Linked DNA regions of Caenorhabditis elegans. The protein of the gene in region 1 purifies or fractionates together with the protein of each later gene. This does not show direct contact. Each region holds a gene or a part of one and is shown in the gene's direction. Other genes may lie near its edges. The genes, in order: C30G7.3 and usp-3.

Region 1 (5,886 bases):
CCCTCAAAAGTACGAAAAAAAAATTGAAACCAATGTTTTTCTCGCCAAATAATTTGTTTCATCGGGAAAATAATAACGAAAAAGTTTCACAATTAAATATTATTAGTCACATTTCCAAAATAAATCATCATCAATTGTTTGCGATAACAAAAAAAACTTCGGAATTCTTAACACCTAGAAGCAGCCGTCTGAAAAGTACAAAAGCTATTATATTTATGACAAAAATGACATTTAAAATTGATTCTATATTTTCAGAAGCTGTAAGTTTTTTCCAATTCAAAAACATATAGGATACAAATGATTTCTACTTCAAAGAATTCCAGAACTTCAAACATGGCAGTTTTTGATTTCATCATTGGTTTCGGCTTCATGTTAATTGCTCTTTTTCTCATTTTCCTATACCTCAACAAGGATGGGCACATTTCAATAGCTATCAAAAAAATATTAACGAATTCAAGACAAAAGGCAAAAGATTTGAAGGATGGTTCAACATCCGACCCATCAAAAACGACACCAGCCGCACCTGCATGCTCTCCAGTATCAAATGAGGAAATAACAATACCCTCAGATGTTCAATCGGTGAATAATACTTTATCAGAAATTTCATTGTCAGAAGCTGAAGTTCAAGTTGATGAAGAGAATCCAAATATTGTGAAAATCCATGTAATTTGATGACTGTTCGCATTTCTAGTCATCATTTTGAAATTTAATAAACCAATGCGACATCGTAGTTTACTTCACCGTTGTCAATTTTTGTAGATGTACTGAAAATGTGTTTGAAATTTGTCCAATTGCAAAAATAATAATTAAAAGCTGACAATAATCATCTATTGTTCACAATGACGAAGAAATTCTAAATGCTTCTTACATAGAAGCCGACTGATAAATATAGAACTATAATATTTATGACATGATAGCATCCAAAATTGTTTCTATATTATAAAAAGCTGTAAGTTTTTTGTTCAATTTGATGGGATGGCAGCAAAAAAGTTACAATTCGACGTTAAACCATCACAACCCAGATTGACCTCGCAATGAAATATTTGACCAACTGTAGATTAAAAAACATATACCGTATTATTTCTATTAGTCTTGCACCAACAATGCTTAATTCCGAGATTTTTAGAAGATAATTTAAGTTATTTTCGTAGCATTAAGCCATATTGGTTATCATGATATCTGACTCAAATTTGGTGTCTTGGCTCTATTCTCGTGCAAACACCAAAGTCGCGTTAAAATATTTCATTAACCTAGGGAACTGCCACAAAAGTTGCACACTTTATTATCCACGACAATTGATTTCTTGGCTTTTGTGAATAAAAAATAATGTTTTTCGTAAATGAAAAATTTCAAATGATGGATTTTCCGGAAATTAATAAAAAATTATCAATTTTTCAAAAATTAAAATTTCATATTATCGACTTTTCAAAAAAAAAAAATTAAAACTTCACATTATCGATTTGTCAAAAATTGAAAATGGCAGATTACCGATCATTCAAAATTTATCGATTTTTACAGGAAGATGGAAAGTATGTAACTCTGAAATCTAATGTCGTGGAAAATGGTTTCTACTCGGGAGTCTTATAGATTTTTTCTCATTAATTTATTGATTTTTGTATTGTCATGATCTCAATTTGAAAAAAAGAAAGAAAATGTAATAATTATCGATATATTTTTTTAAATAAAACTGTTTTTGAAATTAAATCTTCACGTGGCCTTTTCGAATTTTGTTATTCTCAACAATAATCGATAATCCGTGAGATTGATAAAATCGATAAATTTCAATTATTTCTCACTTTTATACTCGTCAATACCACATTTATTACTCGCCGCTTATTCACATTACTCCAATGAACTGCAGACAATCAAAGGTGAGGTGCACGAGAAATGCGCCAGCATTTGCTTGCGCAATTCACGATACCGTATATTTTTCAGAAAAATTCTCACATCTGGGACAACGTCTGTACCGCCGGCACTCGTCGTAATCCGTATTACGTCTGCTGTGAGTTTGAGAGTCGGGAAAAACTGATAGTTTTTGTTGTTTCTGTTCAAAAATCGATAATTTCTCAAAAATAAATATTTTGAAAATTTAGAAAATATCGATTTTTCCGTAAAATCTATATTTTACACAAAAATTTTCACCTACGTGTAATTATCGATTTTTGTTCCAGAAAAGAGTTAAAATTAAAATTTTCGAATTATTGATTTTTTTGTTGGTAAAAATAGCATACAGGGTGGGCCAAAAGTATGGTAACACATGAAGCGCTCTTTTACATGAGCTTTTCGCGCGACTGCCACGTCATACGTACATTCTTCTATCGAATACTGATAGCTGAATAAATTTCCTTCAATTTGACTCAAAATTTGTAATGTTTCCCAATAAGGTGCGATCTTTATCACCTCGACAATTTGGCGAACCCTTTCGAAAAAACGGTAATTTGGCACGCGGCACTTCCCACACAAACACACCTCCCACGCACGCCAATAATTTTCAGATGTATGATTTTTATGTTAAATTGAAAGTTAAAGAAGTGAAGAAGCGTTTTTAATTGTTTTTGTAGCATATAAAAATGTTCTGTGTCGACACTGGCGCCTAGCAAGAACCTTTGTATATTTCATGAATTCAACTTTGCGAAATTTACTCAGTTTTTTTGGTTTCGCAAGGCGTAACGACCCACAAAATCATCCGAGCTCAATTTTCTAAAAAAATTCTGGAAAGTCAGGTCAAAACGTCTCGAAAAATACTAAAATAAATTTATCTGAATACTGCTACTCGCCGCTCACATCCATCTTTCTGGCGACTATGCCATTCAAGACTTAACCTACTGCCGCAGTCCATGACAGAAATACCGTGATAGAAAATATTTTGATTTTTGTTTTTAAAGAATCTCTAGACCAAGGGCATTCTTTGAACTATAAAAACTTGTAAGACACTTTATGGATTCCTCAAGAAAAATGTAGAAATCCCGCAGAATGCCGACTTGCGTGCCATAAAGATCGTGATCTCAAAAGTTCTGAAGGCCTGCAGCAATGCGGATGGATATATTTTGAAAATTCAAAACGTTCATCTGGTCAGTATTTTATGGAGAACAAAACTTGTACAAATTGATGTAATAACTCTCTCCACTAGTAAAGTTATAGAGCTGCAAACGTGTTACCATACTTTTGGCCCACCCTGTAATTCCTAAAAATCAATACTTCGAAAATATTTTTGATTTTAAGTAAAAAGCGATATTTTTTCACGTTCTTTTTTTTGATTATCGATTTTATGCAGACGGCACCACCGGCTCCACCACCTCATCACTGTCAATTTTGGAATTTTCACGTGAACAAATCACCGTAGTGTCGCCACGTGTCAAATGTCCCCTCAAGGTGAGAATATTGGAAAAAAATCATTTCAAAATTTGATCGCTGTACAAAATGCCATTTTTAACAACTATCTATCGTCAGATTCCGACCGGAAATGTATTGATTTTTTGATTTTTTGGACTAAAAATCAATAAATCAATATATATTTTTATTTTCAGCAAAAAATTGTGGAAAAACCGAAGAAAAGGAATGTATATGTCACGAACTGGGATCGTGCAGCGGCGGAGCAACCAAAGGCACTTGCCACGTGGATTTATCAGCCATTTGATAAGAGAAAGGTGGGTCGAGAATTGCGCCAAGGCTCTATCATTTTGTTGGCTTGTTGGACATCCTATCAGAAAGACATACCTGAAATTTCAGTTCGATAAGACTATTTTGAGCAGTGTTACCAGGCCTTGAAGTTTCTTATAAGATTAATCGACCGCGTCGCAGGTTGTTTGCTTTGACTAGTTGTAACTTTGCTCCCAGTGGATTGATTTGAAATTTTTTGTGTGGCTAGCTGTGTATTATTACGTACATTCAATTCAAAAAATTTTCAGTACAACAACCGCACGGCATCCGACGCCTTCGACGCCTACCAACACCGCCTGAAACTGAAAAAACTGCCCGAGACAAAGCAAAAAGTCACAAAAACCACCAAAAGACATGTGACTATCAATGAAGCGGCGACTCAAGTCATTCAGGATGTGTGGTGAGTTTGCACTAGAAACGCGCCAAGGCACGAGTTTTGCGTTAAGGCGTTAACAGTAGTATACATACATACATCAGAAATCAATACAGAGAAATCAATACACAGCTCTACGAGCATTTTGAACAATTTTGAACAGTTACGTAGATTTTGAACAGTTACGTAGATTTGAAGTATTGAGAAAAACCGCGACGCAGACTAAAGTTTTGAACCACTGTAACTTTGCTCGCACTGTTCGAAGACTTTCAAAATTTTTTGTGAACGCTCCCAATGTAATTGTTAATATGATGACGTCATCATTGCTCCTTGGCGTATTTTTCGTGCCATGACGCAATTCTTGATCATTAAATTTGAAGCCCTAATTTTCCTAGTTTCAGCCACCTCCAACCGAAATCCTACCAAAAAATTCGCATATCAAATTGTCGAAATGATGAGGTGAAAATCGATAGTTTCTCTGCTAACCGAGTTCCAAAAGACGATGATATTGACGACCTGAACGTGAATGTTCCAGTTGAAGATGATGATGACGTGGAACTCGATGACGTCATCCTTGCTCAAAATCCGGCGTTTTACGGCACAATTGAAGCGGAAAAGTGTGCAGAACGAGTTGCCGCACATCTATCGATGGCCTGTGAAAACATGGAACGTTTGCAATTTGTGACGGAAGCCGTGTATCCACAGAGCGCCGCTCATTTGGTGAGTGATTGCCTAATATGGAAAATAAATATTGATTTTTTTGCAGAAGAAGCTTCAAGAAATCGATGATGACGTCAAGGATTTCAATTGTCAGATGAGACAGCGTCGTGTCAAAGCTTCGAATCCAGGAGTACGTACTTTTAAGTTTCTGTGTGAAATTTCATGGCTGGACCGCGACGCGACACGAAACTCATGAAATTTTTGAAACTTTAGCGTTTTAATTCAGAACATCAAATTAGATGAAAAAAATGAACCACAGAAAATTTCAGAGCTGTAGCCACATTTTGAGCAAAGTTAAGGTGGTTTGAAAGTCCTAGCGACACACGACGCATGTCAAAACTTGCAGTTACCCTAACTTTGCTCTTAGTAGACACAGAGCTCTGAAATTTTTTGAGCGTGCTCCCCATGCAATAGAAAACTTGTTTGCGCAATTTTGGTGCCTTGCAAACACCATAACCGTGTAAAAATATTTTATTATTCCAGGGAACAGTCACAAAAGTTGCACACTTCATTATCCACGGCAATTGATTTTCCTCGATTTTTGCGAATAAAGAATTTATTGATTGGATTTCCAATTTTTTAAACCTTTTTTGTAGTCACCTAACAACCCGGATTTTCAAGTAGATTTTTAACAATTTTCAGGAAAGCGAATAACTGGAAATAATGCCTAAGTGCCTAAGACTAAGCCTAAAAATGAGCCTAAGGCTAAACCAAAAAAAATCCTAAGCCTAAGCCCTGTGACATAAGCCGGCAAAGTGAAGCAAAACGGCTTGTTTTTTGCGCTGTTATGAGCTTCATTCTTATTTGTTAGACCTTGTGTGTCCCCAAGCCAAGCTATTTCGTCGACATGATGATAAAAATTGGTTTTTGATTTAAACGAATTTTTTGACGCCATACTTATTTATTCGAGAAAAAATAAGCATATATAAAATAGGAAATTCAACAGAGAGTCAAACAAATTAAACGCTTTTTCAAACTGAACTTTCAGGAAAAATAGCAATACGTTTTATCTGAAAAGGGTTGTTTGCTATTATATTGTTTTGTTGCAGAGAACTTATTAATAATATTTATTTTTAAAAAAACCATGTTTTTAAAATTGAAACCAGATACCAAAATAAAAAAAAAGAGAAATA
Region 2 (4,841 bases), on another chromosome or scaffold:
GACGACTCCCGTTTAGATGGAACGACTCTTTATAAAAAGGTCACACGAGAGACGCCTTCGGTTGAGTCATACAACTATCAGCCAAGCAAAGAACCGAAAAGCTTTGAAAGCTGCGAAGCCTGCTATCCGCCCCGCAGGCGAAGAACGGATCGACCAAGTACCCTGAGTGGCGTGCCAGGACTCGGAGTAAGCATTCAAAAAAATTAACAACGACAAATGGGTGCAAATATAATTGGTGAGACGAATGGAGTGAACAACAAAAAAAAAAGATTTAAGTTTAACAACAATTTCATTAGGAAACAATAACGAGCAGCAGTATTTACTTCTTGCTGGTCTTCTTGACCTCGGACTCGGAGTGATGGGAAGCCGAAGAGCGTCTGCGGGCGATCTTGGCGTCGTGCTCTTCCTTGGAGTACTTGGCGAGGAGCTTGTGGTAGGCAGCGGCGTCATCGCGCATCTTGATCTTCTGGTTGCGCTTCTGGCGGAGAAGGTACTTCTTTCTGGCGATACGAGCTGGGGTGATGAGACGCTGGATCTTTGGTGCGATGGTCTTGGTGACTCCTGGAAATTTAGACAGTTAAAAACTAAATTTAAAGAGAATATTGAAGAAACTCACCATCTGGGAAGGTCTTGTCGTGGGTGATGACGTATTTGGTGACATCGTCGTGCTTGGTCAAGTTGAAGAGCTTGCGGATCTTGGAGGCTCTCTTTGGTCCGAGCTTGCGTGGGAGAACGGAGTCGGTGAGTCCTTCGATCTCTCCATCTCCCTTCTTCACGATGACGAGGGAAAGAGCGGACATGTTGGCGTCGACGATGCATCCACGGACGGACTTTCTCTTGCGCTCTCCGTTCTTGCGCTCACGGTAGCAGGATTGTCCCTTCTTCAAGAGAAGACGAACACGTCCGTTGGTGAGAATTCCTTGCTTCATTGGGAATCCCTGCTTGTCGTTTCCTCCTCCGATTCTGACGACATATCCCTGGAAAAAAGCAACTCGTTTGAAAGAGCCGAGAATCGGTTCAAAAACAAAAACTGGGACTCTCAATGTATGTCTAGTCACAGCCATTTCAGCGAAGAAAAAGCACGTGAAACAATGAGGATTTGACACAGAAACATCACTTCGTTTCTGTGTTTTTGGGTGACTCGCTAACCTTCCACTCGTCACCGAGAGCATCGATGGCGACCTCCTGGGACATGCGCTTCTCGAAGAAGAGGCGAAGCTTCTTCTCCTCATCGACCTCGAACGACTTTTGGAGCCCGGTGGCTGGGTAGGCGAAGTTAAGTCTCATCGCTCAAATATTATTACCTGCAAGAAGAAAAACATTGGAAATGAGTTAACGGGGTGAGAAAAGGAGAAACTGAAGCGAAAAACGAAAACATGGGCCTAAAACTAATAAATTTGATTTTCCAAGCAAATATCCTGCGAAATGTGGAGGAAAACTATCAGGAAAACATTTAAAATTTTGAAAATTCGAAAAAAAAACCGAAAAGTTCGCCTAAAAATGAGAAATTCACCCAAAAATTCGAGGGAAAAATGAAAAAAGGAGCGAAAACTTTTTAGGCCAACGACAATTCCAGTTTAAAGGCGCACGCCCTTCGTGGCGAGACCCATCCCCCATCCGCCTCGTCGTCTGCTGCACCCCACCTTTCCCACACTATCTCGTCCGATGGATTTTATTTTTTTCCAAACTTTTCCGATTTTCCGACTCGATTTTCGGTTTTTCTTCGATTTCCGCCGAAAATTTGCTGTTTTTCTTGATTATCGATTTTTTATCCGCGTTTTAAGTGCCAAAACTTTGCTCTCACACTCAAATTGACTGATTTTCGAATTTTTTCAGATGCTTTGCACCCATATAAAGGCGGAAGATTGTGTGGAGCGTGTGCCCAAGGGGATGTTCCGCAAGAAACAGGACATGGAGGACAATAATTTGTTCTTGGAGGGAAATTCGAATCGTGGGAAGGTGGTGAAGTGAGTTTTTTTGAGAAATTTGGCTAGAAAATGGCTAAAAAAAGCTAAAAATAGCTTTAAAAACTCGTTTTTCTTCCAGAAACCAGGAAATAATTAAAACCTTCTGCGACGAATGCGATAATTGCAATAAATCGCTGATGTGCCTCACTTGCGGACGAATTCTGTGCGGAAGAAACGACTCGGGCCACGCTTTGCATCATTTTGAAGAAACCAGCCACCCAGTCGTCATTGATTGCATTTCTTTCGAGCTTTACTGCTATTCCTGTGATGATGAAGTGTCACTGGACTTTGAGCCATCTTTATATGGAGTTCTAAAATCGCTGAAGCTCCTTTTCGACCGGGAAGACGTTATGGAGGGAGGCGACGGGCCGACTATACCGGCACAGCCTTTTCAGTGCGTATTTTTCGAGGAAAATGGACTAAAAATTGGTTAAAAACCGATATTTTATCGATAAACCCTGCTAGAAATCGAATTTTCCACTGAAAAACGTTACAGTTCTCGTAAAAATCGTATTTCCCATGAAAAGTCCGATAAATTGCGATTTTCAGTGAAAAAAACGCCAATTTTCCTCAGAAATTCCATTTTTCTCTCTGGAATTTCTGAAAATTTTGATTTTTCAGTCAAAAACGTTCGTTTTCTCATAAAAATTTATTTTTCTTAAAAAAAAAAATGAAAATCCTAATTTTCATCGAAGAAACTTTAATTTTCCATTGGGAAATCATTTTTTCCGCAAAAACTTGAACAGAACCCTATTTTCCTCACGAGAATCACTAAAATTCCGATTTTCAGGTGAAAAAACATCAAAAAATCGTATTTCGCCCTAAGAATCCGAAAAATTCCGATTTTTCGGCAGAAACTCATCAATTTCTGCGATAAAATTCATTTTTCCCACTAAAAAGCCCCTAAATTGTGATTTTTCAGGGGAAAAAACATCAAAAATCCATTTTTCCTCCTAAAAAGCCAAAAAAATCCGATCTTTCAGCACAAAAAACTTCAAAATCCGTTTTTGCACCTAAACAGCCCAAAAATTCCGAATTTTTCAACGTTAACACTTTAAATTTATTTTAGAAAATCAGTTTTCACAATGAAAAAGCCCAAAACTTCCGATTTTTCAGCACAAAAAACATCAAAAAATTCATTTAGCCCACGAAAAATCCGATTTTTCCGTCAAAAACCTCATATTTTTACTAATTTTTCAATGAAAAACCTCCATTTTCTAGAGCAAAATCACATTTTTCTAAAAATATTCAAAAATTCCGATTTTTCAGCCCAAAAAACATCAAATATCCATTTTTCCCACTAAAAATCCACAAAAATTCCTATTTTCAGTAGAAAAATCAATTTTTTCCACTATAAATGTTCAAAAATGCGCGGTTTTTCAATAGAAAAACGTAACAATAACTCAATTTCCCACTTAAAAGCTCCCAAACGTTGATTTTTCAGCGTTAAATCTTCAAATTTAATTCAGAAAATCAGTTTTTCAACCAAAAAGCCCCAAAATTCCCATTTTTCAGCAGCACAAAAACATTAAAAAATCCAATTTTCCATATAAAAACTTCCGTTTTCTAGAGCAAAATCACACTTTTCCACCTAAAAATATTCAAAAATTCCGATTTTTCAGCCCAAAAAACATCAAATATCCATTTTTCCACCTAAAAAGCCAAAAAATTCCGATTTTCCACTCAAAAATCCTCAATTTTCTTTCAGAACAGTGACCTCAGTCGCCTCAACATTCACCCAAAAGCTCCACGTGGCTCCAGCTTCTCGAAATTCGAAGAAAAAACGTGGAAAAAAGGGAAAAGTCAGTCCAATGTTCGTCGATACACCACCATTCCAGCAGCAGCAGGGAGCCGCCGTAATTCATGACGTCACACTATCATCCACAAATTCTACGTCATCGGGGTCCGGCGGTGCCACGTCATCATCTGAAATTGCCTATAGGCCACGTGGAATGCGAAATGTTGGAAATACGTGCTTTATGAATGCCGTTTTACAAGCATTAGCGTACGTTTTTCACCTCGAAAGTGTGAAAAATTGGCTTTTTTGAGCCGAAATACATGAAAATCGGCCATTTTTGACCCTGAAAATGCGAAATTCATGCGCGAAAATCGGGTGTTTTCCGCCCCTTGAGAGTGAAAAATTGGTGAAAAACGCGATTTTTGACCCTAAAAATTGAGAATTTCATCGAAAATGAGCAGAAATTGTGATTTTTCCGTGAAAATTGTTAGGAAAACGCAAAAATTAGTTTATATTTTGCGTTTTTTAGTTGAAAATTGCAAAATTCTGCAGAAAACCACGGAAAACTCGTGAATTGTGCGTTTTCCGGTCTTAAAATTTAAAAAAAAAACCCGAAAAATGCGTAAAATTTCCTGTTTTAACGTCAAAAATTTTTCTTTTTTAAGCATTAGCGTACGTTTTTCACCTGGAAAGTGTGAAAAATTGGTGAAAAACGCGATTTTTGACCCAAAAAATCGGGAAAATCATCGAAAATTAGCCGAAATTGTGATTTTCACGTGAAAAATGCAGTTTTCTAGCAGTGAAAGGCTATTTTTCATGGAAAATGCCTCATTTTTTCAATAAAAATCGTAAATTTTACGTTTTTAACGCTAAAAATGCGTAAAATTCACCTTTTGAGGTTCAAAAATCCATTTTTTTTTGGCAATTTTTTCTGAAAATTGTATTTTTATAGCGAAAATTGCGTAAATTTCAACTAAAAATTTGAATTTTTGCCCTAAAAATGATATAAAATGTGTGATTTCACAGAAAAATGCCGATTTTTAATCCAAATACCGATTTTCATGGAAAATTTAACTTTTTCACCTAAAAAATGTCGTTTCTGCAGGTTTTGTTACAAAAATCCTATTTTAATTTCA

Evidence for each region.
Region 2: the proteins of C30G7.3 (region 1) and usp-3 fractionate together in Caenorhabditis elegans (co-fractionation; one large-scale study listed by BioGRID). This does not show direct contact.

What each region holds. Positions count from the first base shown.
Region 1 is NC_003283.11:14,941,570-14,947,455, reverse strand, and holds C30G7.3 (MADF domain-containing protein), read left to right. Parts: upstream 1-1,751; 5' UTR 1,752-1,850; coding exon 1,851-1,871; intron 1,872-1,935; coding exon 1,936-2,002; intron 2,003-3,274; coding exon 3,275-3,372; intron 3,373-3,527; coding exon 3,528-3,647; intron 3,648-3,908; coding exon 3,909-4,060; intron 4,061-4,434; coding exon 4,435-4,753; intron 4,754-4,799; coding exon 4,800-4,883; intron 4,884-5,236; coding exon 5,237-5,281; 3' UTR 5,282-5,326; downstream 5,327-5,886. Other genes in the region: C30G7.4 (Matrix-remodeling-associated protein 7), read left to right, coding at 334-672.
Region 2 is NC_003279.8:13,948,624-13,953,464, reverse strand, and holds the start of usp-3 (Ubiquitin carboxyl-terminal hydrolase), read left to right. Parts: upstream 1-1,834; 5' UTR 1,835-1,836; coding exon 1,837-1,967; intron 1,968-2,046; coding exon 2,047-2,361; intron 2,362-3,675; coding exon 3,676-3,972; intron 3,973-4,841. Other genes in the region: rps-6 (Small ribosomal subunit protein eS6), read right to left, coding at 320-561, 617-977, 1,150-1,287.